Linked DNA regions of Sus scrofa. The protein of the gene in region 3 interacts with the protein of the main gene of each other region in a pairwise test. Links are inferred from orthologs where the notes say so. Each region holds a gene or a part of one and is shown on either strand. Other genes may lie near its edges.

Evidence for each region.
Region 1: the proteins of NGLY1 (region 3) and UBQLN1 interact in binary tests that used the Homo sapiens proteins (3 or more experiments, as listed by UniProt). The two-hybrid records come from large-scale screens. The link is inferred for Sus scrofa from reciprocal best matches to the Homo sapiens genes NGLY1 and UBQLN1.
Region 2: the proteins of NGLY1 (region 3) and RAD23A interact in binary tests that used the Homo sapiens proteins (3 or more experiments, as listed by UniProt). The two-hybrid records come from large-scale screens. The link is inferred for Sus scrofa from reciprocal best matches to the Homo sapiens genes NGLY1 and RAD23A.
Region 4: the proteins of NGLY1 (region 3) and UBXN2B interact in binary tests that used the Homo sapiens proteins (3 or more experiments, as listed by UniProt). The two-hybrid records come from large-scale screens. The link is inferred for Sus scrofa from reciprocal best matches to the Homo sapiens genes NGLY1 and UBXN2B.
Region 5: the proteins of NGLY1 (region 3) and RAD23B interact in binary tests that used the Homo sapiens proteins (3 or more experiments, as listed by UniProt). The two-hybrid records come from large-scale screens. The link is inferred for Sus scrofa from reciprocal best matches to the Homo sapiens genes NGLY1 and RAD23B.
Region 6: the proteins of NGLY1 (region 3) and TRAFD1 interact in binary tests that used the Homo sapiens proteins (3 or more experiments, as listed by UniProt). The two-hybrid records come from large-scale screens. The link is inferred for Sus scrofa from reciprocal best matches to the Homo sapiens genes NGLY1 and TRAFD1.
Region 7: the proteins of NGLY1 (region 3) and GUCD1 interact in binary tests that used the Homo sapiens proteins (3 or more experiments, as listed by UniProt). The two-hybrid records come from large-scale screens. The link is inferred for Sus scrofa from reciprocal best matches to the Homo sapiens genes NGLY1 and GUCD1.

The regions. Positions count from the first base shown.
Region 1 is NC_010452.4:31,306,786-31,310,783, forward strand, and holds part of UBQLN1 (ubiquilin-1), read left to right. Parts: intron 1-1,982; coding exon 1,983-2,125; intron 2,126-3,998. UniProt on the Homo sapiens protein: Plays an important role in the regulation of different protein degradation mechanisms and pathways including ubiquitin-proteasome system (UPS), autophagy and endoplasmic reticulum-associated protein degradation (ERAD) pathway.
Region 2 is NC_010444.4:66,093,492-66,097,929, forward strand, and holds the start of RAD23A (UV excision repair protein RAD23 homolog A), read right to left. Parts: upstream 2,987-4,438; 5' UTR 2,752-2,986; coding exon 2,680-2,751; intron 1,391-2,679; coding exon 1,229-1,390; intron 1,064-1,228; coding exon 882-1,063; intron 743-881; coding exon 687-742; intron 554-686; coding exon 426-553; intron 164-425; coding exon 85-163; intron 1-84. UniProt on the Homo sapiens protein: Multiubiquitin chain receptor involved in modulation of proteasomal degradation. Binds to 'Lys-48'-linked polyubiquitin chains in a length-dependent manner and with a lower affinity to 'Lys-63'-linked polyubiquitin chains.
Region 3 is NC_010455.5:12,667,546-12,671,543, reverse strand, and holds part of NGLY1 (peptide-N(4)-(N-acetyl-beta-glucosaminyl)asparagine amidase), read left to right. Parts: intron 1-980; coding exon 981-1,095; intron 1,096-3,998. UniProt on the Homo sapiens protein: Specifically deglycosylates the denatured form of N-linked glycoproteins in the cytoplasm and assists their proteasome-mediated degradation. Cleaves the beta-aspartyl-glucosamine (GlcNAc) of the glycan and the amide side chain of Asn, converting Asn to Asp.
Region 4 is NC_010446.5:74,434,616-74,439,297, reverse strand, and holds the start of UBXN2B (UBX domain-containing protein 2B), read left to right. Parts: upstream 1-1,647; 5' UTR 1,648-1,699; coding exon 1,700-1,783; intron 1,784-4,682. UniProt on the Homo sapiens protein: Adapter protein required for Golgi and endoplasmic reticulum biogenesis. Involved in Golgi and endoplasmic reticulum maintenance during interphase and in their reassembly at the end of mitosis.
Region 5 is NC_010443.5:248,485,544-248,489,541, forward strand, and holds part of RAD23B (UV excision repair protein RAD23 homolog B), read left to right. Parts: intron 1-541; coding exon 542-712; intron 713-3,998. UniProt on the Homo sapiens protein: Multiubiquitin chain receptor involved in modulation of proteasomal degradation. Binds to polyubiquitin chains.
Region 6 is NC_010456.5:39,576,699-39,581,447, reverse strand, and holds the start of TRAFD1 (TRAF-type zinc finger domain-containing protein 1), read left to right. Parts: upstream 1-1,666; 5' UTR 1,667-1,812; intron 1,813-3,714; 5' UTR 3,715-3,726; coding exon 3,727-3,773; intron 3,774-4,749. UniProt on the Homo sapiens protein: Negative feedback regulator that controls excessive innate immune responses. Regulates both Toll-like receptor 4 (TLR4) and DDX58/RIG1-like helicases (RLH) pathways.
Region 7 is NC_010456.5:49,581,988-49,586,466, forward strand, and holds the start of GUCD1 (protein GUCD1), read right to left. Parts: upstream 3,014-4,479; 5' UTR 2,901-3,013; coding exon 2,858-2,900; intron 2,821-2,857; exon of another isoform or gene 1-2,820.

The DNA.
Region 1 (3,998 bases), on a different chromosome or scaffold from region 3:
TTTGCATTGTTTTTTAGTTGATTATTGATGTTGAGTCCAATGTCCTTAACTCTTGAGAAACTTCTTGTCAGGAGAATAGTCTTAAACAGGTTTATTTTCTCTGGACACATTTATTTGGCTGCTGTAGTCATGATGTAAATAACCATCCTAGTTAATCGCCATTGGTACATTGCTTTCTTTGCTTGGCTAACAAGCCATTTGAGAGCCTAACTTTGCAGCCTTTTTTTTTTAAGGCCACACCCGCAGCATATCCTATGTTAGGGGTCAGATCAGAGCTGCAGGTACTGGCCTACGCCACAGCCACAGCAACTCGAGATTTGAGCCACCTCTGTGACCTTCATGGCAACACCGGATTCTTGACCCACTGAGTGAGGCCAGGGATTGATCGATCCCATGTTCTCATGGATACTGGTCGTGTTCGTTTCTGCTGAGCCATAGTGGGAACTCCTTCATTTTTTATTTTTGTAAAGAAATTTAGCTATGATGAGATATTGTATTTTAAATTTTGTATTTTTCCGATTTGCTTTCCTGTTAGTAGGGAGTACTGTGATGAGTGCTCTGTCTAGCAGTGTTGAAGTATATCATATTCCTTTAGTGTCATTGCATAGTAAATATGGTGTTTTGCCATTTCAATGATAAAATAATCCATACTCTGTTGTGCCTTAAAAGCACAGCAGAGTCCAGTTCTCCCTCGTTTGTGGTACTCTGAATAGCAGTATAGAGCATTATGGTAGTGCCACATGGAACCTCTGTTGAAACTACTCAACTCTGATTTGGTAGTGCAGAATTAGCCATCAATAACAATAAATGAGGGTGCACGACTGTGTTGCAATAAAATGTTGTTTATGGACATTGACTTTTGAATTTCTTATAGTTTTAACATTTCACCAAAAATGTTTTTCTTTAACCATTTAAAAATGTAAAAACCATGTTTAGCTCTTTGGCTGTGCAAAAACAGGTCATAGGCTATATTTGCCCTACAGGCTATCTTCATCACTATCTGTCTAAGTGTATCCTTAGACTCTAGGATGTAGAAGAAACCTAAATTGAAATAATATGAGAAAATAGGAAAAACAAAAATTGTTATAGAAAAACAGCAGAATCATAATAAATTAGAAAGTAGGGAGAGTCAAATCTTTTAAATCTGTTAAATTAGATAGAATAAGAACAAAAGGGAAATGAAAAAGCTAAGAAGTGAAAAGTTCACATAATGAGTTTGAGCATATATTTGAGTTTGATTGTATCTAGTCAGCAAGTGAAAACCTTGTATGTTGAACAAATTTAATTTTCAAAGACTTGTTGAGTTCACATAAATTTAGCTGTAGCTCTCAACAAAAAGAGAGAGTGACAGTTAACAGCCATCTACACATTAATTTAATTGTCATAACCACTCTTTCAACTAAATACTGCTTATTACATCATTTTACAGATGGGGAAACTGAAGTATGAAGAAGCCCCCTTAATTTGGGGTTGAATTCATTGAGTGTCAGGACTCAGTGAAAACGAAAATAGATTGGAGGCCTGGACAAGAAGGCTTCCTTCTTTCTTAAGTGAGCGTATTGACTCCTGAATATGATTCTAATTAAGTCATCCTGGGGGAAAAGTTGGCTCAGACGTCTTCAATTTTTGAGATTTTTCAGTATTTTAATGAGTATTTTTAGTATTTTTACCATATCTAGTTTTTGCCTTAAATTGACTTTTGAACCTAGCCTTTCCATAAAACAGGATTTTCCTGTATATTCAACCAGAATGTATCAAATCCATAAACCTTCCTTTATTGATATATGTTAGTAGGCATGTTGTTTTGGAGATCTTAGCCATAAAATTTTTTCTTAGTTCAATTGATAAGTAATTGGTATGTGTATTTATCTGCAGTTGCTAAAATTATGTACAGTAGATATGTATTTTAAAACTTTCACTTTTGTTTATATGTCTTTTTCTTGATAAAAATGTTCTTTTTTTTTTTTAAACCAAACTTTCAGCTAGTATGTTCAACACACCAGGAATGCAGAGCTTGTTGCAACAAATAACTGAAAACCCACAACTTATGCAAAACATGTTGTCCGCCCCCTATATGAGAAGCATGATGCAGTCACTTAGCCAGAACCCTGACCTTGCTGCACAGGTGAGTGTGTAATTGTATTGAAAAGGACTAATCAGTGTGGATTGAAACAGCTTAATCAGTTATTTGTGATTTGGACACGTTTGTTTTGTGCATGCTGCCTTACACTGGAAAAGTAGGCAAACCACATCTCCAAATTTTTGGACAGTTTGTTTCCTTACAGTAAATTAATACTTCATAATGTAATGGAAACAGCTTCATTTCCACTGTTCACTGGCTAGAAAGAAGTGCAGGTTTACTTTGTATCCACATGTGTTGATTAAGGAGATGAATACAAAAGTTTTGAATGCTCTCTCTTTTAAAGCCTTTTCTTCAGTGTAATGAAAATCTTGAAAGTGATTGAGAAGTGTTAATACATTTGAAATACTTACATTGGTTAAGTCACAGAGATTTTGAATAATAGTCGTGTTCAAAATGACAGTTATAAAATGGCCTGAAATTGTTTAATATAAGCAGGGAGAGATTGTGGGAAAAGTATTCTTATTCTTTCTGTTACAGATCTCCCCCTGGTCTTTTATTAAATCATTTTCTAACTTGTTTCTGAAGAGAATAAGAAAATCAGTGGATCTCAATCCTAGCTGAACATTTAGGATGACTTTGGAAACTTTAAAATTAAAAGAAAAAATCTTGACCCTGTCCTGAGATCTTTTCATGTAACTGTATTGGAGTATAGGACTCCCCTACCCCCCACCCCACCCCCCAAGTTCCCTAGGTGATTATCATGTACCCCTAGGTTGAGAACCATTGGCGTTGAAAAATCTTGGCAAATGTAAACTAGGCCTTCATCATCTGTGATTTATATTTGCTGTTTATTAAAAAACAGTCTGTGGAGTGTTAGGAATTTGAAATAGTTTCCTTTATAGTCTCCATTTCTGAAATTTTAAAAGCTTTTAAAGTTAATCACTTTCTTCATTATGTCAAAGGAAATGGTTTTTATGTTTCTAAAGTCTGAAACCATATCAATTCAAGTATATAGAGATATCTTTGAGTTAACAATCCTCAGCAGCAGCTTTCTGTCCTCTTAAAATTTGTGGAGTTGGAAGTTTTTATTTTTTTATGTTTTTTTCCTTATACAGGTCCACCTGTGGTATATGGAAGTTGCCTATGCCACAGCTTGCAGCAATGCTGTATCCTTAACCCACTGAGCCACAACAGGAACTCTGAAATATAGAAGTTTTTAGATAAAGTTTTGTATATGCTTTAAATTTTGCCTATCGTAGGTACATTTAATGAAATATTTTATTCATAAGAAAACTATTAAACTGAGTTATTATTAGTATTAAATGCTTCAACTTTTGTTTAAAATACCCATGGGAAATATGTATGCAGACCAATCCTATTTGTATGTTTTTAAATGTATGTTTGATTAATACTAAATATTAAATGTGTATCTTTTTTTTTTTTTTTTTTTTTGTCTTTTTTGAGATTTCTTGGGCCGCTCCCACGGCATATGGAGGTTCCCAGGCTAGGGGTCGAATCGGAGTTGTAGCCACCGGCCTACGCCAGAGCCACAGCAGCGCGGGATCCGAGCCGCGTCTGCAACCTACACCACAGCTCACAGCAACGCCGGATCGTTAACCCACTGAGCAAGGGCAGGGATCGAACCCGCAACCTCATGGTTCCTAGTCGGATTCGTTAACCACTGAGCCACGACGGGAACTCCCTAAATGTGTATCTTGCTTTAAAATTTTTTTGACTTTAACAAGCACACTTCCAGCCATTTAAATGAAAAATAGTACATTTATAAAGTGACTTGAGCACTTTCACATGTTTTTTAAAGTGAAATGTTTGCTTTTATAAGAAGGCTAGGTATGAATTGTCTTATTGTAGACAGTTGTTACGAGCATTTATAGTGTACTTTGATTACCAGCAGATA
Region 2 (4,438 bases), on a different chromosome or scaffold from region 3:
ACCCAGGGCTGAAGTCGGGGGGATGGAGTGAGTCAGACGCCTCAAGTGCAGACACTCCACACGCACACTTCACACTCTACTCACCTGCTTCCGTAGGCGGCTGCTCCGATACTTGGCTCTCCTGGACAGAACCATGTTCTGGCTCGGGGCTCCCAGGAATTCCCTGTCAGGGATCCTATTTAGTTCAATGCAGACTGCCCACTGCCTTCCTCTTGCATGCTCAGCCCTGGCAGGAGACACATGAGGCCTCCACTCTGCCCTCTGCAGGCCCACCCCACCACTCCTGTCCAGGTTCCTGGAGGAAACCTTTCCTAGCTGGAACCATAAACCATGGGCTTTGGAGGGCAGGTTTTGATCACCCATCAGGTCACTGACACCCACATGCTCCCTTGAGGACTCCCCAGGAGGCTAGAGCCCCACCTCACCGTGAGCAGATACTCCACGGCTCGGTGGGGGTTGTTGTAGCTGGCTCTCAGGGCAGCCACGACCCGCTCCCGCTCATAGCCCATGGACGTGATCTCTGTCAGCATTGTCTCATACTCAGAGCCAGTCACTGTGGAAGGAGGAGCAAGGGCTGGGTCACCAAGGAGTGGGAAGGGCAGCTCCCGGGCCCTCCCACACCCACACAAGGCCCAGCTGATGGCTGGGGCACCCAGTCATCTCTGCTCTGGGGACCACCCACCCACCTAGCGTGGAGGCCGCGTCTTCCTCTCGCCCGCTGCTACCTGAAGAGGGAACAGAGCTGCAAATTCAAGAGAGAGAAATCGGACCCTGGCTTCTGGCGGCTTGCCCTCCCCGCAGGTGTGTGGAACCACGGACGTAGGCGCTGAAATGTGCTGGGAGGCCAGGGCCCAAGCTGAGGCTGCTGCTCCCTGCCTTACCCTGACACGGACTCCGGAGATGTCGTGGGGACCGATTCCTCCGATGGGCTCTTGTCCTCTCTGGCAGGAGATGGGGGGTGGGACATGCCTGAGGCAGGGGCCAATGGGAAGGATGTGGAAGACTCCGGGGCAGCAGTGGGTGAGGCCTCTGGGGGTACTGAGGTGCCTGGGCTAGTTTTGGCCTGTGAAACCCAGAAAAGGGAGCAGGCATCAGTATCCCTATCTAGCGCCACATCCCACCACAGCTCAGCCCCACCCTGTTCATGGTTAATCTCTCTTAGGCACACAGGCTCTTGGCCAGCTCCCAAGCTAATCCACCCACCCTCCCAACCAGCTACCTCACCTACCTTGGTCACCATGACGACCACAAAGTTCTTCTCATCAATTCGATAGTCCCTGATGGGGACATCGTCACTCAGGATCTTGCCAGCATAGATGAGTTTCTGTCCAGCCACGGGGAAGGCATCACGACCCTTCTCAGCTTCTATCTTCTCTTTTAGCACCTTCACCTGGAGAAAGGGGTACACAGTCATGGCAAACCCCAAGATTCTCTCTTCCCTTATAGTATAGGAGGAGAGGGGAGAAAACAAGCCCTGATGACTGAGAAGCTAAGCTTCATAATCAAGCATTCTAGGCTATCCCATCATTCAATGGAGTATTTACTGCACACTTCTATGTGCCAGGTGCAGTTTTAGGCACTGAGGACACAACAGAGAACAAAACTCAACAAACTCTGTTTTTGTAGAAATGACGCTTATTTGGGAGATGGAAGTCAGAAAATGTAAACACAATGTAATGAAAAACAGAAAAAAGGGGCGATAGGAGGGTTCCTCACTCCATGCTGCTGACAGTGGTTTTCAGTGGTAGAATCCTAAGTTTACAGTACTATTGTAAACATACATGTGTCACAAGTTTAAATCCTCATTGTAACTGGGTAAAAAAATTACCATTAGCCTCATTTTATGTCCAAGAAAAAAAGGCACAGATAGGTTGTTAACTAACTTGCCCAAAGGCAAACAGGCTGATGAGAAAATCTATTTCTCTCTCTATAAAAAGTGAACTTAAACATCTTCTTCATGAGATAAGTTGTGCGAATAATGCCAAATACGCATATTAGATTCGAAGTCTCTTCTCAGCTAAAAAGACAGCATAAGGTTTCGTCCATAGGCTCACTTGAGGCAAACCCCTACTGTTATTTGCTGTATGCGACTATGTCTACGTTCCTTAACTCCTAAATTTCCACATCTGTAAAACAAGAAGACTAAGTCCCCAAATGACAAGCCTACTTTGAAGATTTAGTAAGATAATACGAAAACGCTCAGTGACTGGTGAAGAACAAACACGGACCATTGAAACTCAGACCATTTATTATCTTTATCATCGTCGTTGCTGTCATCACCCGGCATCTCTTGGCCACTATTCGTAGATTCGGCCACCAACGTCCAGAGGAAACGCCTACAAAGCTGGGAACTAGGAGGCCCAGTCCCAGAGACAGCAGCACGACAGAAAATCTGAGCCTGCGGCTCCCGCGCCCCACGAGGGCGCTGACATTGGAGCCGGGGCCTGGCAGGCGCCCCGGGGGTGGGGCTTTGCCTGGAGATCGACACTAGAGCTCCACCCGAGCCACCAGGGCCTGGGTTGGGGACCATCGGGTAATCTGGAAAAGTAGGGCAGTTTGGGAGAATGGGCAGGGCCCGGCCCCGCGTCGTCTTCCCCGCGTCTCTCGTCGGGATCCCAGCCTCCCCCCGAACCCCTGGCACCCGTCGCTCCCGTTCCCAGGCTCAGGCTTGGTTCGCACCGTCTCATCAGGCTCCATGCGGATCTTGAAGGTCTGCTGTTGCAGCGTTTTGAGCGTGATGGTGACGGCCATGGTAGGACCCGAGCGACGCGGCGGCCCCGGGATCCTCACACAACATGCAACTCACGCCGCCGCCATCTTAGCGCCTAGCCGCGCCGCGCGCCGACCGCTTCCGGGGCAAACGGTGCGCGCGCCGACGACCAGGACACGTGACCTGCGCGCTGTGGGCCCCCCCCCCCCGCCGCCGCCATGGGCCTTCGTGAGCATGCGCACGAGAGCGGCCCTGAGTCAGGCGTACGCAGACCAACTTCTACTCAGTCGGCGTAGAGGGAGGTTTTCTCGCTTAACCATCACGTGGCTTCATGGGAGTGACGCCATCCCCGTTAGCGGTGACGTCATGAGGCCACAAAATGGCGCCGACGTCCAATTATCACGCCCATCAGTTTCCTTTTTTGTTGACGTTGAACAAAAATCTGCTTTGATACTTGTATCTCTACCGTAAAATCTTAGTTCATATTTTTTGCTCTTTCCAAATTAGTTTCATTCTAGTCTGGCCACCCTGACAGTACTCCTGTCTAACCCTGAAGGGACCTAGAAAGGATACTGAAAAGGTCACCAACAATTAAATGAAAATGCCAAACACGTTTGGCTGTGTAAACAGGCACACAGAGCCATTTTATGCCCTCATTTATTCTTTAGGAAGAGCCGGATTTTTGGAATTAATTTATACAGTTCTAGTTCCTGGGTCTCCCCCCTCTCTGCTGCTCCTTCCCTAACCACTATCTCCAACATGATCCGCAGTATGTAGAGTATGTAACTTCCAAGGCTTTCCTACACTGAATACAAAATTCTCTCCTTTCCCTGGATATGCTAATTGGGATGTTTCCCAGAAGGGTGGGGCTGGGCTGCAGGACACAGGAATGAAGCACAAAAGAGGCCTGTCCAAGTAACAAGGAAATGAAGCGCTGGTTGGCCAAAGGTGAAAAACGTGCTATGGCAGACTGGTTGGAGGTGATGGACTCCCCACCTCCTTCATATCCTGCTTCAGAACCTGATCTTTTCACCATTCCCATCCCAGTAGGACACAGTGCAGTCCCCTGCCACCTCACTCATTTCCCCAAATCTAACCAGGTCCTGCTGCTTGTCCCTTTACCACACACCCTGAACTAAGAAGCTTCCACACAAGAATAGGCCACCTCTTCCCTTCAAGAAGTTCAGATCCCAACTTGGCTACTGAACATCATGGGTAAGCTAGATACCACCTTCTGAAGATATTTTGACTAATGAAAGGTATTTATAGCTTTTAACACGGGCTGGTATTAAGAACAACGTGTTGAGGAGTGCCCTGGCAGCAAATTGAGCTAAGGATCCGGCACTGTCACTGCAGTGGCTTGGGTCACTGTTGTAGCACGGATTCGATCCCTGTCCCGGTGGAATCAGCATTAAAAAAAAAAAAAAAAAAGTGTTTATAAGAATTCCCGTTGTGGCTTAGGGGGTTAAAGACCCAACTGGTAACCATGAGGATGCAGGTTCAAAACCTGGCTTCACTCAGTGTGCTAAGGATCAGCGTTGCTGTGAGCCGCAGCATAGGTCAGATAGAGCTTGGATCTGGCATTGCTGTGGCTGTGATGTAGGCCCACAGCTGTAGCTCCAATTAGACCCCTAACCTGAGAACTTTCACATGCTGCACGTGCAGCCCTTAAAAAGTTAAAAAAAAAAAAAGGCAAATGTTTAAAACTTTTGCTTGAGAAGATGGACA
Region 3 (3,998 bases):
TTTTACAGCCTTTCTAATTTGTCAATGCTATTAAAAATCTGAAGTCAAAGATTTTTCAAGTACTGATTAAAATTTTTCAAAATCATAATCATTGTAAAAGAAATTTTTGTCTTCATTATATTGCCATGCTGGCAGTGACAAAATATATATTTTGAGCTAAAACAGAACTTATAGTAAAATCAGTCATTGGTCTAGGGAAGAAAGAACAATCAAGTAACTATAAAGGTACACTTCGCTTCATGTTGGTCAGAAATAAAGTCTTTGAGGAACTTTGATTCACTTTTATATAGCTTCTTCATTTCTTTTATTCATTCATTTCACGAGTATTTATTTATTTATTTTTTAGGACCACACCTGCGGCATATGGAGGTTCCCAGGCTATGGGTCCAATCAGAGCTGTAGCTGCAGGCCTTCACCATAGCCACAGCAATGCCAGATCCAAGCTTCATCTGCGACCTACCCTACAGCTCACGGCAACACCGGATCCTTAACCTACTGAGCAAGGCCAGGGAGCAAACCTGCATCCTCATGGATACTAGCCAGATTCATTCCCACTGAGCCATGACAGGAACTCCTCATGAGTATTTATTAATTACCATCCATAGACACATCAGGTCCTGTTTTTAATGATTGAGATTCATCAGAACAAAATAGACAAAACCTGCCCCTGTCTGGAACTTGAATGGATTTTTTTCTTAGCAGCCCAAAAACTTGTAAAAGTCCCTAGCTTTAACAGCAGAGAAATAGAAAGTCTCATGAATTTCCCTATGACAACATTGATAAGATCAGCCGTGATGTGGTGTGTACTGAGGTAGGAACCACAAAGTTAAGCCGTCTGTGCTGCTGCTTTCTCTAATTTTGGGATTGCTACTACTTTGCAGGAGTGTAGCCAGTATAAAATGGGAAAAGAAATGTAAAAACATGGTGAAAATATAAATTGTTATATATAATCAAAGTTTTTTTTTTTTTTTTTAAATCAGAAACCCTAATGATGAAAAATATAGATCTATCCGGATTGGAAACACAACTTTTTCTACTAGACTTTTGCCTGTCAGAGGAGCTGTTGAATGTTTATTTGAAATGGGCTTTGAAGAGGTATGTTCAAGGGTTTTTTCCTCCCCAGTTCATGTACAAAGCATTCATTATAGTGTTGACAGATAATTTCTAAATAAGGTAATATTTTTTAATGGATTCATTTTGGCAAACTGTGGAACTATTTGCCCGCTTACTGGATAGTTTAAAAGTTACATTAAATATACTTTAACTCACAGCAAAATATGACAGCCCTTCCTCAGGGAGAATTCTTACAATCTTAGCCCTTTAGAATACGGAGATCAGATATTTAAACCAAGGACTAAATTGTGATTCTCTTTAGACTTTTAGCAAAAACCTAGTTTGTGATCACATACGAATTACTAATGTGGTCCAACCCGTCGCCAGTAAGAAATGGAAAGAGAAATGAGAAACAGAAAAGTCGAATTTAGTTACCACACATAAGGGTTCTATTGTGTAAAAGGTGAGAAGAACCTTAGTGTTGTTTTGTTTGGTTTTTAGGTCAAAAGAAAATCTGGTGTTTCTGTCTTATGGGATCTTGTGGTATAGTTTCATTTTGTGACACAGTGATAGTAGTTGTCAAGGTAATGAGTTTTCTCTATGTGTATTTGCTTGGCCATTTCTAGTTCACAGAATATCGTAAAGCCCTAGAGACTCAGCCGTCAGTAACCGTAAGAACCAGTGAGGCCATAGCAGTTGTTAATGAGAGAGGCCAGGTTGCTCTGGGGTATGCATTCCTTCTGCTTCTCTGCATTGCTTCCCAGACGTGCTGATGAGTTAGACGTGGAGTATAAGGGCAAGGCAAGAATCTAGGATGACTTCTAGGTTTTGGTGTGAAGAACCAAGTGGATCTCCACTCATTGAGACTGAAAAATCTTGGAGAGTAGCATGTATCAGGGGAGAAAGAAAGCTTCCCTGTCTTTTGGATAATTATAACTGATATATTGTTAAGTATTCAGGAAGAATTGTCAAGTAAAGAGTTGGATATATGAGTCTGTAATTCAAAAGGAGAGGTCAGGGTGGAGGTAAGTTAGGGTATCCTCTACTTGTAGTTACTCAGATGTCTGAATATAAAGAATTTAAAACTATAGATGGGGAAAATTGAGACCATTGTTCATTCAAGGAAATGAAAATTTTTGAGAGTCAAATGACAGGAAAATTAAATAAATGACAACTGGAGACTATGCTTATTTCTCATTGCTGAAGTGGAATCAGATTTGTCTTTCATTCAGCAAATACTTAAGTTGCCAGGAAGGGTAACCACCCACTGTAGTTTTCCTGGGACAGTCCTGGTTTTAGCCGTGAAATTCCCACACTGCAGAAAACCCCTCAGTCCCATGCAGACTTGTAGGTTGGTCACACCAGAGGTAACAAGCCACATTGGGACTTGTAGTGGCATTTGGTGCAAACAGAGTCACAATTTTAGAAAAGATTTTCGTGTTTTGAGACTAATTTATACTTAGTTTCTGACTGGCCTTGGATTTCACACTTAAGGACCTGTATGAAGTGTTAGCCAACAGAGCTGAAACTGAACTCTCCCACCAGAAGGAAACTTGCTGGGCTTTGAGATGAAGGAAGATTCCAAGACCTATCCTGAATTTGTGTACACTTGACATTAAAATCCTGGATGCTTTTGGGCCCACTCATCCCTGAGGATGCATTCTTTTTTTACGAAAAATCTGAGGAGGAGAATTAGACTGAGATTCAGGTGGGTATGTGACCCATCAGGCTAGTTTAGTGGAGTGGTTCACCCTGGGAGCAGTACCCAACCCAGTGAGGATGGGGCATCTGAGGGAGGAAGTTTTGGTTGTCTTGGTGACCAGAAGATATTACCAGCATTTAGTTGAAAGGGGCCAGGTTGACTTGGAGCTGGTGATTAGAATTGTCGAAGCAAGAATGAGTTGAGAAACATAGATTTGTTAAATGCTAGAATCCTCATTGATTTCCTAAAATGTTATTGGGTCTCGTGTGTTAAGCCTTCAAGTTTTTCCTTTTATGAAAATACAGTGCTGTTGATTAAGCTTTTGGGTGCAGATATTTTGGCTGTAATCATGCATCCTGAAAATTGGAAGAACAGAGAGCAAGGCAGGGGCAGCATAGCCTCTCCAGGGCATGGACCAGGTCAGATCCACATGCCTGTCTCGCTCTTCTTTCTTCTCTGTCCACGATGTCAGCTACCTCCCTCTGCATTCCACCCAGAGAGAGATGAGAGGCATCTGTGTTTGGTTTCAAACCAGGAGTCTGGTTTCTCTTCCCAGGCCTCATCATAGATTGAGGTGGCTCCTTCTAATGCTGGAACATTCACCATGTTCCAATTTCTCCTAGTTATCGCATATGTAATCATCACAAAGGTAGAAATATTTTTTTTTTTGATCAACTCTTCCAACTGTTTGTACAGCTTGTGGATTTTGATCTCTCTTCAGACTCAAATGGAGTCAGTTATAGCTTAATGAGTAAGGTCATGCAGTTTGAATCGTTGCTGTGACAGTCATTCTGAAGCATCAGGCAGGTTATTTGACTTCTCTGAGCCTTTGTATTTTTACATGAAAAGTGGGGATAAACCTAATAGCTATCTTTCAGGACAGTTGTGAGAATATATATATATATATATAGAGAGAGAGAGTAATATATATATATATTATATATATATAATAACACAGTACCTAGAACCCATAAACACAATAAATGGTCGGGTAGTCTTTTTTTATAGCTATTTTGGGTAATATATAAGATTGCTGGCCTCACCCAGCTTTTTAAAAAAGATTCACAATAAATTGATTTTCAGGTCATTCTTGAATAATGTCTTGGTCAGTTGATTCCTGTAGGTCTGTATCACCAGTGAAATAAGGTCATTCTTAATTGTGGAGTTTAAATGATCACAATCTAAAAGTTGGACAACTGCCTATTATAACAAGTGATTTTTCTCATTTGCAGTTGATGGAATA
Region 4 (4,682 bases), on a different chromosome or scaffold from region 3:
GATTCAATGTCTGAAAATAATCATTTCAGATATCTCATCTAGCTTTTTTCATTGCTGGGATTGGAAGGGCAAGTCCAGTACCAGGTACACTATCATGGTCAGAAGCATAGTCCACCTGGGGAGCAGCTTAAAAAATATGATTCTTGGAGTTCCCGTCGTGGCTCAGTGGTTAACGAATCCGACTAGGAACCATGAGGTTTTGGGTTCCATCCCTGGCCTCGCTCAGTGGGTTAAGGATCTGGCGTTGCTGTGAGCTGTGGTGTAGGTCACAGACACAGCTTGGATCCCTCGTTGCTGCGGCTGTGCATAAGCCGGCAGCTACAGCTCCGATTACAGCCCTAGCCTGGTATCCTCCATATGCCATGGAAGCAGCCCTAGAAAATGCAAAAAGACAAAAAAAAAAAAAAAAAAAAAAAAAAAAAAAGACGCTTGAGGGGTCACCCCATATTAATTAAATCTGAGTTCCTAAGATGGGGAGAGGGTGGAGGAAGGGGTTTTCTAGTGTGCATCAGCCTTGACAATCACTGCCCCAGGGCGTAGTCCTCATCCTTCACTAAAGCAAGACCCTTTAGCACCACTCCTAGGCCTGCATCTTGAGTCTAGATCTGCACCCACATTCCCCAATCCCCAAGCCTCTTTTGTCACTTCTCCTAAGGTTCGCCATGCAGGACTTTATCAGCACGAACATGGTATTTCAAACATGCTTCTCCCTGTGGTCCCTTCTGGTCCAAAGTCTACCACGAATACTTATCCTTCAGAGTCAGCCAAAATACCATTGGCTCCGTGGGACGTAAAGAAGAGCCAGAGATTTCTAGGCAGAATGTTGTACTAAAAAGAATATTGGGACAACCAACAAATGCAAGGTTTAGTATCTGGTACCGTCACTTACAACAGAGTAAACTGTTATTTGAAACTTGGTTTCCTCAGGTATAATACGGTTACCTGGCAGAGGGATAGAGGAGATTACACATAAAATGCACCCAGCATGGGGCTCATAGCAGAATACTCCCCTCCCCACTCCACAGTCCACTCATAACATTCCCTGCAAAGCGCTACTGCAAATGGCATTTTATTATGTTTATATTTCTCTTTCCCCCACTAGACTGTGAGTTTTATAAATATCGGAACTACTTCTTTTTACCTTTGCATCCGGGAGCATAAAAGTGCCTGGGATAAGACAGGAGTTTGAATGAAACTGAGATGAATAAAGAGAATTTAGTAGTCTCCTGACCTCAAAGAGCGTTTACTGTGTTCTTCCTCCTCAACCCCAATTCACGCTTCGGGGGCGACCGTGCCACCCAGTCTTTGGTAGGGAAAGGAGAGAATGTGACCAAGACTGGAAAAGTAAGGATGCGCCTTTCATCAGATGAAACATCCAGAGGACGTTTTCACCGTGGGTTTAAAAGAACCCGCCAGTCCGTGCTGCCCTCCAGGGCGGCTCCGAGCACCCTCAGGCGTGGGACCTGGGGAACCTGGGTTTACGAAGAGGTTACTCCGCGAGAAAATTCTGAGGCCACTTCCTTTTGGGAAAGAAGCGGGTCAGGACAGGTGGGCGGGCGCCGGAAGCGGGGGCGCGCGGGCCTTGGGGGAGGCGGGGGCGCGCAGGGACCGCCCCGCCCGCCCCGCCCCGCGGTTGCCAGGCAACGACCCCGGAAGTCGCGGGAGGCGCGTCGGCGGCGGCGTCGGGAGCCGGTGAAAGATGGCGGAGGGCGGTGGCGGCGAGGCGGGCGAGGAAGAGCCGAGGACGCCGGGGCCGCGGCCCCCGAGCGCGCGGGACTTGCAGGTGCGGCGAGCGGCAGGGGTGAGGGCGCGGCGGCGGGGACGGCGCGGCCGGGGGCGTGTCGGGGCCGCTGTGGCCGAGGCGGAGCCTTCCCCAGACCCGCCCGGGGACAGAGTTGGGACTCGGGAGCCGTGGGTCTCCCCGGGCGGCGCGCGGGACCGCGGTGCTGGTAGAAACAGGTGTCTGAGCGCTGCTTCCTCGGGTGCCCCTGCCTCGCTTCCCCCACCCCACTTGCAGTTTAAGAAGCAGCTGTTGCTTTAGAATGGCATTTCACGGGGTCGGTTGAGTACTTCACAGGTTGGTGCTTCGGGCAGGAGACTCTGGAAGAAAGCTCTCTCTCCTGTGGCCATAGGGGAATCAGCATCACTTCAAAAGTCACAGCCTCTGCGGGCCTGATCTTGCTTATCCTGGAGGCTGTTTCTGGCTTGATCACTTAAATGTAAAGAGGGTTCCTTTTTATCAGATAGCTTTTTCTTGTAGAGGGGTAACCTAAAAAGTATTTCACCCTATGACTGCACAGCTTGGTTGTAAAAGCTACAGTACAGAAAAGACTGCACAGAAGAAACGGGAAGATAAAACTTGCTAATATTGAAGGACGTTGACATTAGCCAGATATGAGCGCACCAAATCTTACTACTCATTTTAGGGGTTTTTTTGGTTTGTTTTCGTTTTTACTGTCTCTTTGTAAGATCATTGATAAAATTCAACAACCAAACATCTGTAAGGAACTATCGTTAAAAATAGATGGCACTAAATCCAAGCCTTGGTAGAAAAGTTCTGTTACTTTATGGTCACATTTTCATTGTGTATCTGTAAATGAACGGATACTGAATACCTGTCCTATAACATACTGCTAAGCTCTGGGAACGCAGAGATAAATAGGACATCAAATCTACCGCGGAGGCTGTGACACTGATGAAGAGTATAGAAGTATAAAAGGCATTTCACTATTATTTGCAGAAATAATATAGGAATATTTTTAGCATAACGTTTTCAGATGGAGTATGGCTGAGTGCCAAGATAAGCTGTGCATAAAATGTTGAATTTGGAGAATGGAGTGATCAGTTGTCAGGAGACAAAGTCAAGGTAGCATAGTTCTAGTGTTCGTAAGTCTGTTCAGTAGTAAACAACCAAGGAGTAGGAAGGTCTTATCTGCCTCATCTCTTCTGTTGTACACCACTAAGAGACATATGCTGTTGGGGAGAAAAATGAATTTCTGGTCAGAACAGCTTGGGTTTGCATTTGGCCCTGCCACTTAGTGTGAATCTCGGGAAAGTGTTTTAACCTCTCTGATCCTCCGTGTCTTTATTTTCTAAACAAGAGGTGGTGTTGATGGTGTCAAGGATGAAATAGAGAAATGTCTATAAGTGCCTCTTCGGTCCCATGTTATCCTGGCTCAGTTACTTGCATAGTAAATATTTGGTTCTTTTTCCTTAAAAGGAGAGAAATGCTATCACTTGCCCTGGTTAGTCCAATCTAATGCCATTAAAGTTAAAACTATAACTTAATATCACGTCCTGAAAACCTGTTTCTTCTTTTTATGTGGAAAGTGAGAACAGCTTGGTTAATGATTGTCTGATACTTGACACTTAGACTTAATCCACTAGATTAAGGTATGATTAATTGTTGGAGATAATATGATAGATGTCCCTAACTGTGATCAAGCCTTACTTTCTACCATCACTTAGAAAATAGGATTTCTTTTCATCTCCTATCTACCTTCTGGTAGGTAGGTTTAGGTAGCTAACTGATATTGTTATGAATGTGATTTGGTATATAAAATATGCTAAGTATTGATAATGTTTCCTTTAGAATTTAACAAAAATGTGAAGAACTTGCAAAGACACCTGAAAACAACCAAGGTGATGACGTATAAAGAAATAGACTAGTATCAAAGGTTTAAAAGAATTGGATAGTGTTCTTCTCTCCAACTGGTTTCTTGAATATTGATTATGTGGGGATTATCGTGTTATTGTTTAATCTAGCCATGTTTATTTTGCCACGCCTCCTAGGATTTGTGGGCATCTAAATCTGGAGCGATTTCTGATAGCCTAGAAAGCCTTCCAGCCCTGTGAGCATCCAACTCAAAAGTGCACCTTAGTGTGGCAGCTAAGGTGTACACACTTAGGGGTACTTTTACTTGTTCCTGTTACAATCACCCTTTTCCTCAATGATACCGGGAAAGCCTCTTACAGCGAGTTGACTAGAAAGTAAAAGTACCTATTGAAAACTGAGTAACTCTTAAAATAAGCATGGCTTGATTAAACAATAGCAAGATAATCCCCATATAATCAATATCCAAAAAACCAGTTGGGGAGAAGAACACTGTCCAATTCTTTTAAACTTTTGATACTAGTCTGTTTCTTTACACGCCCTCACTTTGGTTGTTTTTAGGTATCTTTAAACCTTCGGTGCTAGCGTGTTTCTTTACACGTTATCACTTTGGTTGTTTTCAGGTGTCTTTGCAAGTGCTCTCTCTCTCAAATCAACAAGTAGATCTTGGGCCCCTTCGACCTCCAAAATTGGGAACATGCAGAGGGGAAGTTGGGGACAGGGTTGTCAGTGACAGTACTCACCCCGGGAACCTCAGGCTCATTAGTATTTTTGAGCATTTTCAGATCCCCTTGTCTCCTCTGGTGCCCCTCAGCCCTCCATACATGGCCTTAACAGTTGCTTAAAGTATTTAAGTATATGCTTCTGCCCCAGATTTCCTCCAGAATAATATGAAAGGAAAAGATTTCTGTTTGTATATTTTTATTTCTGGGTAGGTTGGAGTTGGGGAGCATTGGGGCAACCTCATACTTCTTAGGATTAGGAGCGGGCTGGGGGTGGGGGCAGAGAGGAGTCTGGGAGTGAGAAAGGAGTAGACTGTCTGACCCTGAGTTACACTTGCCGCAGCAGC
Region 5 (3,998 bases), on a different chromosome or scaffold from region 3:
GGGCAGCGGGGTGGTTAATTTAGTTGTATCCTAAGTTTGGGAAACACTTTATGTGAAAGAATCTGAGAAACTAGCAAAAAAGTCCATTTAACTTCCTAAATCTCTTTTTCCCAAGCTTATCACTAGTGATACATTGCCTCGTAGAAAACATACCCATGGGCTTTTTTAATGCTTAGGCCATGAAATATTTTTGAGTTTTGTATAGCATTCTATTTCCTATTAGCTTGGAAAATAATATATGTATATACATATATTTTTCCTTATATAGCTGTCAAATAATTTTTTAACAATGATGGAGGGTGGGGAGTTGATGAAAGAGAATTTGATTTCTTTTCATTCTTGTTTACTTCACTCAGAACTTTCTTTAATAATGTACAAGGAGTCATATCTTTTTAATGACTGAATAATCCAGAATCATTCTTAAGTAGTACGGTTGCAAAGTTACAGCTTTCTCTCATGTTTGTATTAGAATTCTTACTTTCCTGAAGATACTTCATTTATATCAATATATTGTTTCTCTTTGTCCTTGAAATCACTACAGCAAATTAGCCAACACCAGGAACATTTTATTCAGATGTTAAATGAACCAGTTCAAGAAGCTGGTAGTCAAGGAGGAGGGGGTGGAGGTGGCAGCGGAGGAATTGCAGAAGCTGGAAGTGGTCACATGAACTACATTCAAGTAACGCCTCAGGAAAAAGAAGCTATAGAAAGGGTGAGTTTAAGTAAAACTTAAAAATTCAGCTCCTTAGTCCCACTAGCCGCATTTCAAATGCTTAAGAGTCGCATGGTGCTAGTAGTTCCTGCATTGGGGTAGCCCAGGTAGAGGGCATTTCCATCATGGGAGATGGCTCTTATGGGCAGAGCCACATGGAGCCCTGCCTGGGGACTGTAGTAGAGACAGTCTCTTCTCAGCTCTGCTCTCCATTATGTTCTTTGTGAAGCCAAGGGACTAGCAGGGAATATCAGTCTAGCATGAACCTAGTTATAAACATACTAAGAAACTAAAAATTTCATTGATGTTTTAATACCCAAGAAGAAAAAATTGATCTTAAAGTATATGCCTAATTCAAGATTTTCCATTTTTTAATTTATATTTCAAATTTTATCTTACTGTTGTCTCTGAAATGTAAAATAGATATGTAAATGAATTGTATAAAATGTGTATACAGTAAACATCAGAACCTGGTATCATGATTCTCTTTTCATCCTTAGCAGATCAACCTGTACAGGTTGTGGCACCGCAGTAACCTAGTTTTTATGATACTGTTAACTAGTCTTCGTTTTCTCTGGGCCCAATTGTTAACATTTGTAAATAGGGAACTGTAGTGCTTGCCCTGTCTTATCTTACAAAGTACTTTGAGATGGAAATCAGGAAAAGTGCATTCTAATAATTAGAAAAGTCACCTGTACTATAATTTGTCTTTGTTTATGACATAAACATATCAAGTATTCAAGGTTTATAACTGTTTCTTAAAAGATACTTATATATTGTGCTGGGGCTTTTTTTTTTTTCCCCTCAAATAATAGAAGTGACAGTTAACATTTGCCTCAGTTGTCTATATCAACCTTTTTGTGAGGTTGGATGATCAGTTCTTGATTTCTCTGTTGGAGAGGGTTTTTTTTGTTCTTGCTTTTGCTTTTAGTCATAGAAGAGAACATTGCCTAACCTAAGGTCAAAAGTTTTAATCCTGTGTTTTCCCCCAAAGAATTTTATAGCTCTTACTACATTTAGGTCTGTGATCCATTTTGAGTTAACTTTTTGTTTATGGTGTAAGGTGTAGGAATCTAACTTGCATGTCTTTTCCTGTGTATATCCTGTTGTCCCGGCACCATTTATTGAAATTACTGCTCATACCCCATTAAATGATCTTGTCATCCTAATTGAATAATATGTTGACCATAAATGTGAAGGTTTATTTTTGGGCTTTTTCATTGATCTCTATGTTTATCCTTACGTGATTCCTTTATTTTCTTGATTAGTTTGGCTTTAGTAAGTTTTCAAATCAGGACGTGTGAGTGCTCCATATTCGCTCTTTCTCAAGATTGTTTTGGCTGTCTAGGCCCCTTGCATTTTTTTGTATCAGTTTTAGGCTTAGCTTGTCCAATTTCTACAAAAAGAAAACCGATTGAAATTTGATAGATACTGTGTGAATTTTTCTGTAGATCAATTTGGGGAGCATTACCATGTTGGCAGTTTCTTTCAGACATTTCTTATTTTTCTTTTTTTTTGTCTTTTTAGGGCCATACCCACGGCATATGGAGGTTCCCAGGCTAGGGGTCTAATCGGAGCTATAGCTGCCAACCTACACCTCAGCCACAGCAATGCAAGATGTGGGCCACGTCTGCGGCCTATACCACAGCTCACGGCAGCACTGGATCCTTAACCCACTGAGCAAGGCCAGGGATTGAACCCGCATCCTCATGGATGCTAGTTGGGTTTGTTAACTGCTGAGCTATGACAGGAACTCCCCAGAAATTTCTTTACTCTTTGATTTGTACTTCTTCCTCCCCCAACCCCCCTTTTGGCCATCCACAGCACATATAGTTCCCTGGCCAAGGGTCAGATCTGAACCATGGTTGTGACCTATGCTGCAACTGCAGCAGTGCAAGATCCTTAACCCACTGTATCAGGCCAGGGATCGAACCTGTGTCCTGACACTGTAGAGTCACTATCAATCCCATTGTGCCATAGCAGGAACTCCAATTCGTACTTCTTTTGCTAAATTTATTTCTAAGTATTTTTATTCTTATAACACTGTTAAAGTTGGAATTGTTTATTTTTGCATTGCTCATTGCTAGTTGTATATAGAAATACAATTTAATTTTGTGTCTTGCAACATTCCTGAACATATTTATTAATTCTGATAATTTTTATGTATATTCTTAGGATTTTTATGTTTAAGGTATCATTTGTAGGTAGACATAGTTTTAATTCTTTTTTAATTTGGATGCCCTTTATTGTATATTTATTTGCCTAATTGTCTTATCTAGATCCTCCTGTGTATTGTTGAATAGAAGTGGTGAGAGCCAACGTCCTCATCTTGTTCCAGATCTTAGGGGAAAATAAAACAGTCTTTCACCTTTAGTATAATGTTACCTGTGGGTATCATTAGTTAGATTCCTTTTATCAGGTTGAGGAAGTTCCTTCTATTCCTAGCATGTTGGATGTTTTTATCACAAAAGGGTGTGGGATTTTGTCAAATTCTGTGTTTATTGAAATGATCATGTGGTTCTGTCCTTTTTTCTGTTAATATGCTTTATTATATTGATAAATTTTTGTATGTTGGACCAACATTGCTTTCCTAGGATGAATCCTTCTGATCATATTGTATAATAATTTTTATATGTTGCAAGAATTGGTCTGTTGAGGATTTCTGCATCTATATTCATAATACTGGTTTGTGATTTTCTTGTGATACCTTAGAGTAATAACTGGCCTTAGAGAATGAGTTCCTCCCTCACCTATTTTTTGGAAAAGTTTATGAAGAATTGGTATTTAATTTTTCTTTAAATAGTTGGTAGAATTCACCGGTGAAGTTATCTGGCCTTGGCTTTTCTTTTGGGGATGTTTTGTGATTACCAATTCAGTTTCTTTTTATAAGGCTATTCAGATTTACTGTTTTTTTCTTAAGTCATTTGGAGTGGGTTTTGTCTTTCTAGGAATTTGTTTCATGTACATTATCTAACTTACTGACATACCATTGTTCTCAGTATTCCCTTGTAAAAATTTTTATCTCATAAAAATTAGTGGTGGTCCCACATTTATTTTTACTTTTATTTTTGCTTTTTAGGGCCGCACCCGCGGCATGTGAAAGTTCCCAAGCTGGGGTCAAATTGGATCTGCAGCTGCGGTCCTACATCACAACCACAGCAATGCTAGATCCGAGCCACATCTGTGACCTCCACCATGGCTCATGGCAACGCCAGATCCTTAACCCACTAAGCGAGGCCAGGGATTGAACCTGCATCCTCATGGATACTAGTCGGATTCATTACTA
Region 6 (4,749 bases), on a different chromosome or scaffold from region 3:
TATTTAAAATAAATGTTCTTTCCTGTTACAAATAAATAATGCTTCGTGATCTGCTTCTCCTGCTTAGCGCTAGGTCATTAATATCTTACAGTTATAATCTGCAAAAAATAAAATAATGACTTTAAATTGCTGGGTTTTTGAATGTAAAATATCTCAATTTTTATACTGAATATATATTGAAATGACAATGCTTCAGATACATTAGGTTAAATAAAACAGTCTTAAAATTTAGGAGTTCCCATCGTGGCGCAGTGGTTAACGAATCCGACTAGGAACCATGAGGTTGCGGGTTCGGTCCCTGCCCTTGCTCAGTGGGTTAACGATCCGGCGTTGCCATGAGCTGTGGTGTAGGTTGCAGACGCGGCTTGGATCCCGCGTTGCTGTGGCTCTGGCGTAGGCCGGTGGCTACAGCTCCGATTCGACCCCTAGCCTGGGAACCTCCATATGGCGCGGGAGTGGCCCAAGAAATAGCTAAAAAGACAAAAAAAACAAAAACAAAAAAAAAAACAGTCTTAAAATTTAAAAAAATTGCTGGGTTTGTTTTTGCTTTTGGGGGGCGTATGTGGAAGTTCCCAGGCTAGGGGGTCGAATTGGAGTTGCAGCTGCTGGCCTATCCCACAACTGCCACAGCCACAGCAAGGCGGGCTAGGAGTTTTGTCTGTGACCTATGCCAATGCTGGCTGCAACGCAAGATCCTTAACCCACTGATCAAAGCCAGGGATGGAACCTTCCTCCTCGTGGATACTAGTTCCATTCTTTACTGCTGAGCCACAAGGGAAACACCCAAGTTGCCGTATTGTTAAAAAGAAAAAACGAAATTGCTGTATTGTAAATAATACTTTCTCCATTATATTTATTCTATTTTTTTTTTTTTTTTTAATTCATGAGGGAAGAGTTCAGAGGATCCATACAGACAGCAAGTAGAAAGATTGTAACTCAAACATGCATCTCAGGGAGTTCCCTTCGTGGCTCATTGGCTAGTGAACCCAACTAGGATCCATGAAGATGCGGGTTCCATCCGTGGCCTCGCTCAGTAGGTTAAGGATCCGGCATTGCCCTGGGCTCTGTTGTAGGTCGCAGAGGCGGCTGAGATCTGGCGTGGCTGTGGCGTGGGACTGCGGCTGCAGCTCTGATTAGACCCCTAGCCTGGGAACCTCCACATGCCAAGGATGCGGCCCTAAAAAGCAAAAACAACAAAAAAAACTAAACCGAACCAAAACAAAAAAAACCCAAAACAAACCAACCAACCCATGCATCTCGGCCGCTCACTCTACCACCGCAAGAAGCAAAGGTCTCAAACATGGGCAGAGCCTCGCAGAGATATCTTGCATGAGCAGTGAGGAGGACATTATAACTGCAACAAGTATGACTAATAATTATTAACAGCTCATGACAAGAGGACAAATGCCATTACTTATCGTAATATATTAGGCATATTAGTAATGTCTATATAGTATTATTCATGCAAATACCAACCGCCTGTGTCATGCGTACTTGCTGAGCCCAGAGGTAGTTCCCAGCTTAAGTCTCTGCCTCCTTCCAGAGGCGCATGGGTTGGGACTTCCAGGGACACGCCTCTGTGGGGCTGAGGAGCCAATCGACGCGCAGAAGGCGGGGCTCTGGGAGCGACAACACTACTATCCAATGGCAGACAACCAGAGTCGCCCCTGGCCAATGGGCGCACTCCTCCGCGACGGTCGGAAGTGGTGAGGCGGCTCCGGGGGCCGTTGTTCAGCTTGGGGGCTGACTGAGAAGGGAGGCTTCAGTGTCCCTGGCAGGCGGTTCGTGTTGGCGTCTTTCGTCTCGTCCCAGGTGAGGGTAGCTGCGGCCCGCGAGTTCCTATAGGTCTCCAGTTCGGGAGAAGGGCGGTGTGTGGGCTAGGGGCTTCTGGGCCGGGGGTCAGCAGGGGTTTCTCGTAAGGAGAAAGGTGCCCGCGAAGCGGCGTCTCGCCTGGCTAGTGAGGGAGGCCGTACTTTCTCCTCAGGGATCCGGAGCCTCAGCAGCCCCCGGCGTCACCGCCCCTTCCCGGCCGTGGCCCCGGGGCTGGGAGGTGACGGTTTTCTGGAGCCCCGCCATGGGCACCTCGCCCCGGGCAGATCTGGGCCCCGAGCTGCCAGCGTGAGGGGTCGCGGGTAGCCTGGTGGGGGCTCTAGGCCGACAGACTCGGGTTCGAGTCCCCACTCTTACCAACTGTGCGGCAGCTGTCTCCCTGGACTTCCTCTTTCGCGGTCTCAGCAGTGGGATGGTGACTTTCACCTTTTAGGGTTGTGGTCTGGATGAGAAGATTATCCACGTAAAGCATTTAATCATCAGTAAACACACTATGAATGGCAGCTAATATTTGCGAAGCCGGTGCCTTCCCCACTCTTTTCGGACCTCCTCCACCCTGCTGGGGGGAGGGGGCAGTTGGAAACCGCCACCTCCAGGGTGTGGACCCTGTGTGGTGTCTCCACCCCTTTGGGCACAGGGAAATCCTGGCCGACCACTTAGAGGGGCTCCTTCTAATTTTGAAGGGAACTTAGTTTGCCATAGGGCTTCCATGCATTCGTTCACCTCTTATAGGGCGTGTTTTGAAGAAGTGTTAGTTTGGAAATGTTAAAACGCCCAGTTAGGGAGTTCCCGTCTTGGCTCGGTGGTTAAGAATCCGACTAGGAACCATGAGGTTACGGGTTTGATCCCTGGCCTCGCTCAGTGGGTTAAGGATCCTGCGTTGCCGTGAGGTGTAAGGTGGGTCGCAGACGCGGCTCGGATCCCGCGTTGCCATGGCTGTGGTGTAGGTCGGCGGCTACATCTCTGATTGGACCCCTAGCTTGGGAACCTCCATATGCCGCGGGTGCGGCCTAGAAAAGACAAAAAAAAAAAAAAAAAAAAAAAAAAAAAAAAAAAAAAACCCCAGAAAAAAAGCCCTGTTAGAGGACAGTATTTTTAGAAGATAATTTTTTTGCGCCATAGAAAAGGATGATATAAAGTAAGTACTGGTAATAAAGTTGCCAGGGCTTTGCTTTCAACATTGACATCTTGTTTAAAAGAAGGAAAAACTACAGTGGAGAAACCTGGTAGAAACTTATTTCAATGAAGTGATCAAAGTCAGCATCATCTGTAATAATAAGACTGTTGACATCACCTGCTTTCTGATTGAATGCAATGAGATGAGCACAACATCACTTCTATGGTATTTTTGACAAAAATGTATTAATCATGAGAAAACATCATATGAACCTAATTTGAAGATAGTCTACAAAATAACTAGCCAGTACATACAACAAGGTTATGAAAGAGAAAGACTGAAGAAATATCCCAGATTAAAGAAGATTAAGGAGAAATAGCAACCAGTGCAATATGTGACTCTGGATTGCTGAACCAGCAAAAGGGTACTATTGGTGGCCTGATTTGTGAAATTAAATAATTGTAGATTAATTACTAGTATTAGTGAGTTTTTTGCACTTGGTAATTTTACTGTGACTATTTATGATGTACTGGATGAGAGGTATATGGGAGTTCTTTATGCTGGTTTGCAAGTCAGATTATTTCAAAATGAGAATTAAAAAATAATAAAAAGCTAAAACCAAAGTGTGTTATGTATTAAATAAAATGTACTGGTTTTGGTGATTTTTTTTTTTGCACTTTTTCTTTTGTGTGTGTGTGTGTTTTGCATGTCATGCTTAAAGCAGAAATGAAATTGAAAGAACACACTTCTTCCTTTGTTGTTTTCAGGAACAGCTAAAGATGGCTGAATTTCTAGATGACCAGGATACTCGACTGTGTGACAATTGGTGAGAAATCTGAGAAATGTTATTGGAATGAGGATAAACTGGCTTCTATAAAGAGTTGGCTTATTTATTGGCAGGTTAAAATTGGAGCCATATAGTATGTTGTGCAAATATATGAGACTAAAGCTTTTTGAACAATTTTGAATAAAATTGCCTGTTTGAGAAATTTGATAAGATAGTTGGTTGAGGTAGCATAGAGTAGTGACCAGAGCGATGGCATGAAGCTGGGAATCAAGGCTCTGGTTCCTATCTTATTTAGTTAATGACTTGGCAAGTCCCTTGACTGCTTTGGAGCCTTATTTTTCTGACCTATATGTAAAGGAATTTCTTTTCCGCTTTTATGAAAAATAACCATTCCTGCTGTGTAGTGCTGGAAACTATATGTAGTCACTTATGATGGAGCATGATAATGTGAGAAAAAAGAATCTATACATGTATGTGTCACTGGGTCACCATGCTGTGCAGTAGAAAATTGAGAGAACACTGTAAACCAGCTATAATGATAAAAACAAAAACTATTATAGAAAATAACCATATATTTTTAAAAGATGCTAAAAACATAGTGAAATGTTTGGATTAGAGCAGTGTTTTGCAAAGTGTGTTGCAAGAATTTCCTTGAATGGCTACAGTGGTTGCCTTGAGATGGTTGGGAGCAAGGTTTAGTGAGTTGTGGCACAATGTCTAGTAGTGAGAACATTCAACCAGAGCAGCTGTCTCAGATTATTTTATTTATTTATTTTTTTTCTTTTTGCCTTTTCTAGGGCTGCTCCCGTGGCAGATGGAGGTTCCCAGGCTAGGGGTCTAATCAGAACTGTAGCTGCTGGCCTACGCCAGAGCCACAGCAATGCAGGATCCGAGCCACGTCTCTGACCTACACTACAGGTTACGGCAATGCCAGATCCTTAACCCACTGAGCAAGGCCAGGGATCGAACCCGCAACCTCATGGTTCCTAGTCCGAGTCGTTAACCACTGCGCTAC
Region 7 (4,479 bases), on a different chromosome or scaffold from region 3:
GCCTGTAGGGCGCTGTGAGCACTCGGGACAAGAATGTGTGTGAAACCCTTGGCAGGTGCTGATGTGACCCTGCCCTCCACCTAGCTGGGGCCTTCACTCCAAGCTTTCCAACATTTGCCTCTGCCCACTGCCTTGGATTCAGCCCTGGGGGGTCAGTCCTGCCTGACTTCTGCCTCAGTTTCTGTCCCCTAGCCATTTTCCTGTTTCTGTCCACAGTCTCCCATTGCTCTTAAAGTTCGCACTTCTTACTAAGGCCTACGGGGCCTGGCCACCCCCCTGCCACACCTTGGCCCTCACCCCAGGACCTTTATCCATGCAGCTCTCTTTCCCCTCAGTACTGCCCCATTTTTGTCATTCTGGACCCAGCTCAAGTCTCCTCCTGAGAGACTTTTCTGACTACACCTTGGGGAGATGGGGCCTCCTTCACAGTACTTCCTTGTTTCTTTCACAGGACTGAGCAAAAGCAACAAAAACATGAAAATGAAATAAAGCTACTCTGTCAGCCCACTAGACTGTCAGCTTCCTAATGGTAGAGAACTTGCTAATCTTTTTTTTTTTTTTTTTTAAGGGCTGCACCTGTGGCATATGGAGGTTCCCAGGCTATGGGTCCAATTGGAGCTGTAACTGCTGGCCTAAGCCACAGACACAGCAATGTGGGATCCAAGCCACATCTGCGACCTACACCACAGCTCACAGCTTAACCCACTGAGCGAGGTCAGGGTTGGAACCCGCATCCTCATGAATACTAGTTGGGCTCTTTACCACTGAGCCACAACAGGAATTCCAGAACTTGCTAATCTTGTTCTCTGTTATTCCCAGTGCCTAGTGTCTGATGCTTAGCAGTAACTTGCTAGACATTTGCTGGAAGAAGTGAGCTTATTAAGCACCCACTGTGTGTCAGGCTCTGGGGACGCTACAAGTGCTGAGACCCAAGCCCTACCCCGTAGGTGTTCATGTCCTAAAGTAATCCCCCTACTGACGGAGTGCAGGGAGAGGTCTCAGCAGGGCACTGTCCCCTTACTGTGGATGCCTTCCTCTTCAAGAATCCCTGGCTGTAGCTACAACTGCCTGTTATTTTTCTCTACACAGCTGTTTACTCCCCAGCCCTTGTATTTGCATATCCCTTATCTGCAAGGGTGTCTTGAACCATCTCTGAACCTCCAAATGCTCTGGTGTCTTTCCCTCTCTGAGGCCCTCAGCATGTGGGATTCGAGGTGCTGTCTGCCTTCCCCACTGCACAAACTGAGAAGTCCTCGGTGGCAGGCAGGCAGAGGATTGCATTTGCCTCCTCCTAGCCCTCAGACCACCGGAGGCACACAGACCTGCTTGAATGGTGCATGGAAGGCATTTTTTCCCCCAAAAGGCCTTATCCTCTGAGATGCCCTGGGCTACTTGTCACCGCTATGTTCGCCTTTCCCCTGACTTCTGGCCTGTGGCCCTCCGTTCACAGCTCCCTCCTCACTCTGTGGCTGGGGCTCTGGCACTGCCTGGCTAGGCTATCTCTGGCCAAGCTTTGACACTGTCTGTGCATCCTCTATGGCCAACTGTCAGTGTAGCACAGGACCCCTGCTCTTGGGGACTCTGCCCCTCCTCTTCTTACCCTGATCTCTAGAACCATTTGATCCTGCCTCCCCTCCACCTCCTGAGAGCTAAACATCCCTACATGACCATCCCCAGTCTTGGCACAGGCCAGATGGCCCACAGGGACTCAGAGGTACTCCTATGGGAGGTGATAAGGGTAGAGGAGGCCTTCCAAGTTCAAAGCTGCTGCTAGACATTGATGCCTGTGGAGCCAAGAGGCTGAGAGCTAGGGTCTGCCTGGAAGGTGCTGGCCTGGCTTCAGTTGGCAGCTGTTGCCAAGGAAGGAAGGTGGCTCACAGGCCCTGAATACTTAATCACTCTCAACCTCAGTCTGCTCATTTCCCAAAGTGCAAATAACAATGGTAACTGACTTCAGGAAGTCGTTATGAGGATTAATGAGAGTCTGAATGTGAACAATTTAGCAGAGTATCTGCCCATAGAAAGCTCACTGTAAATATGAGTCATTACTTCCCTGAGTGAGGCTCAGAACATGCAAGTGTCTGGTCCAAGATCACAGAATTAGATAATTAGAGGATTAGGGAGGCCAATCCCCGGGTAACTCCAGACCCTACTCCTTGCTGCAGTCACAGTCAGTATCCTGCTGATTCCTTAGGGTCAGGCTCCCACATGCTCTTGACTTCTCCCAGGAGCTGGGACCTCACTTTAGAGTTTACCAGCACTTCCTTTCTCACCAACCCTGTGCCTTAACCAGAGCAGGAATTACTGCTCTCTCCCTCCCCAATTTAGCAAAGCAAACCGAGGTTCACACACAACCTGAGTTTTGGTTTCTGCCTGCAAGGGAACACAGGCCACCTGGGACATAAGGAACTAGAGTGAAGAACTCTAGCAAGACAAAACACTGAGTCTGGGAGGCCGGGGGGGGGGGCCTCCCCCATTGCTCTATGCTCCCTGCCAGTTCCCTGCCCTTCTAGGCCTCAGTTCCCCGAGGGGACAGGATCTCTCACGGCAGCTTCAGCAGGACTTTTCGCTTCTGGGGAAGCTGCCGCCCCAGCCTCTCAACCAGGACCCTCCCACCAAGACCGCCATCAGAGCTGCCTGGGGTTCCAGCCCTGGGAGTATCAGGAAACCCCAGCAGACCGCGGTTGGCGCTGCGGGAGCCAAGGCGGGGTGTACACCTGGCCAGACTTCACTCAAAGCTCTACAGCCTAGGACATGGCGGCCGTCGGTCCAAGGTCACGCGGCCGGACCCTGACCGCTGCTAGGGTGGGCCCCCCTGTTCCCCTGGATGAGGGCTAAGCCCTCAGGGAGCACTGACCGGGCTCGAGCGGCGGCCCCGATGCCTCCCCCTCCGTCCTCATGACGTGGGCGGCGCGGGGCTCCCATGGCCCCGGCCCGGCGCCGGCTGCAGCTTCGGCCTCGTCTGGGGCGGGAGCGGGGCCGCTAGTCCCCGGGTTCCTGGGCCGCCACCGCCACTGCCAGCACGGTGGGGAGAAGGGGAGGCGGCAGCTGGGCCGCCCCAAGCCCCGCCCCGGCCCTTCCAGGCCTTGGCCCGCCCCGTCCGCCCTGGGCCCCGCCCCGGCCCGCCCCCGCCTCCTCTGGCCCTCAAGCCCTCAGGCTCCCAGGCTCCTGTCTCCGCTGGTCCCGGCCGCTCAAAGTGTCAGCTCCCAGGGTTGCCGCCCCGACCTCCGAGGCCTGGCGCGGACGCGCAGCCCTTCCCGCCCCGCTCCCCGGAAGCCCCGCCCAGGCCCGGGAGTTCCACGAACGCGGGCTCCCCAGAGCCCCCGGCAAGCTCCGCCTCTGCCAGGTCCTACTCCTCCGCCAGCCTCGGGGCCGGGAGACCCAGCCCCACCTCGACTCTCTTTGGAGGGACGGCCGAGGGCCGGCACCCGCTCTGCTCCTGTCTCCCTCTCCGCTCAGGGGTCCCTTTACCTGGCACTGCCGGGTTCCGAAGGTTAAATTGTGAGGGGAGGTCCTGGCCCTCGGCCCCACCGCTGCCTCCCCCGATCCCCGCCTCGCCGTCCAGCCCGTCGCCGGTGTGAGGTGTTTGGAAAAGCGAGTCCCTCTCTGCCCTTGCCGGCCCGAGGGTCGGTGTTTCCGGCGGCACCTGGGTCCAGTCATCAGTCTTCCGGGGCCGGAACTCTTGAACCACAGACCGAGTTTCCCAGCCGGTGGGGTGAGGTGGAAGCGAGGACGAGACCGCGCTCACCACTGGGAAAAGGAAGAGGGCGGGCCCTGCGCGAGGCATTTTGGGAACGCGTGGTATTCTGGGAGCGCGGGACCCGCCATTCGCTTGTCTCACGCTTCGCAGTCGGCAGAGTCGCGGCCGCACCGGGAAGGAGGAGGAGACCTCAGGCGGTGAGGGGAGGCTGGGGGCGGGCGTGGGGAGGCCGAGGCACTCGGAGGAGTAGAGGGTTGGAGAAGGACGCGCTGCCGAGGAGCTCCGCGGGGCTCGCCGAGGGACAGGAGCGGGAAGCCGGGCCACCAGACAGTGTCGCCTCACTAGCGCTTGGAAGTGAGGTCGTTAGCTTTTCCTTCAGTTTCCATACCTCCCCAGGCCAGTGTTTTTCGAAGCATCCAGGCAATGGTCTTGAGGTCGTTTCTGGCTAGTTGCTTCCTTCCCAAGTCCTTTGCTTCCCTGCCTCCATCCGCCCCCTCATGCTTTCTACACCGTTACACAAGCTTCTTTCAAGTTTCCCTGCATCTAAGCTGTGTTCGAACCATTTTGTAAGTGCTGCTGCCTTTCCCAGGGATAATTCCTTCCCTATAGTCCTGCCGTGGTTCTCCCATTGCGTTCAGCATAAAATCTACACTTCTGAGGCTTCTCACGAAGGGCGCCTGTCTCTTTCACTGCTCTTCCTTTTTCTCTTTATGCAGGAGATGTATTCCACCTTTCAGCTGACCATTTTGGAATTTAAAAACCGACAGCTTTCCTCTTTT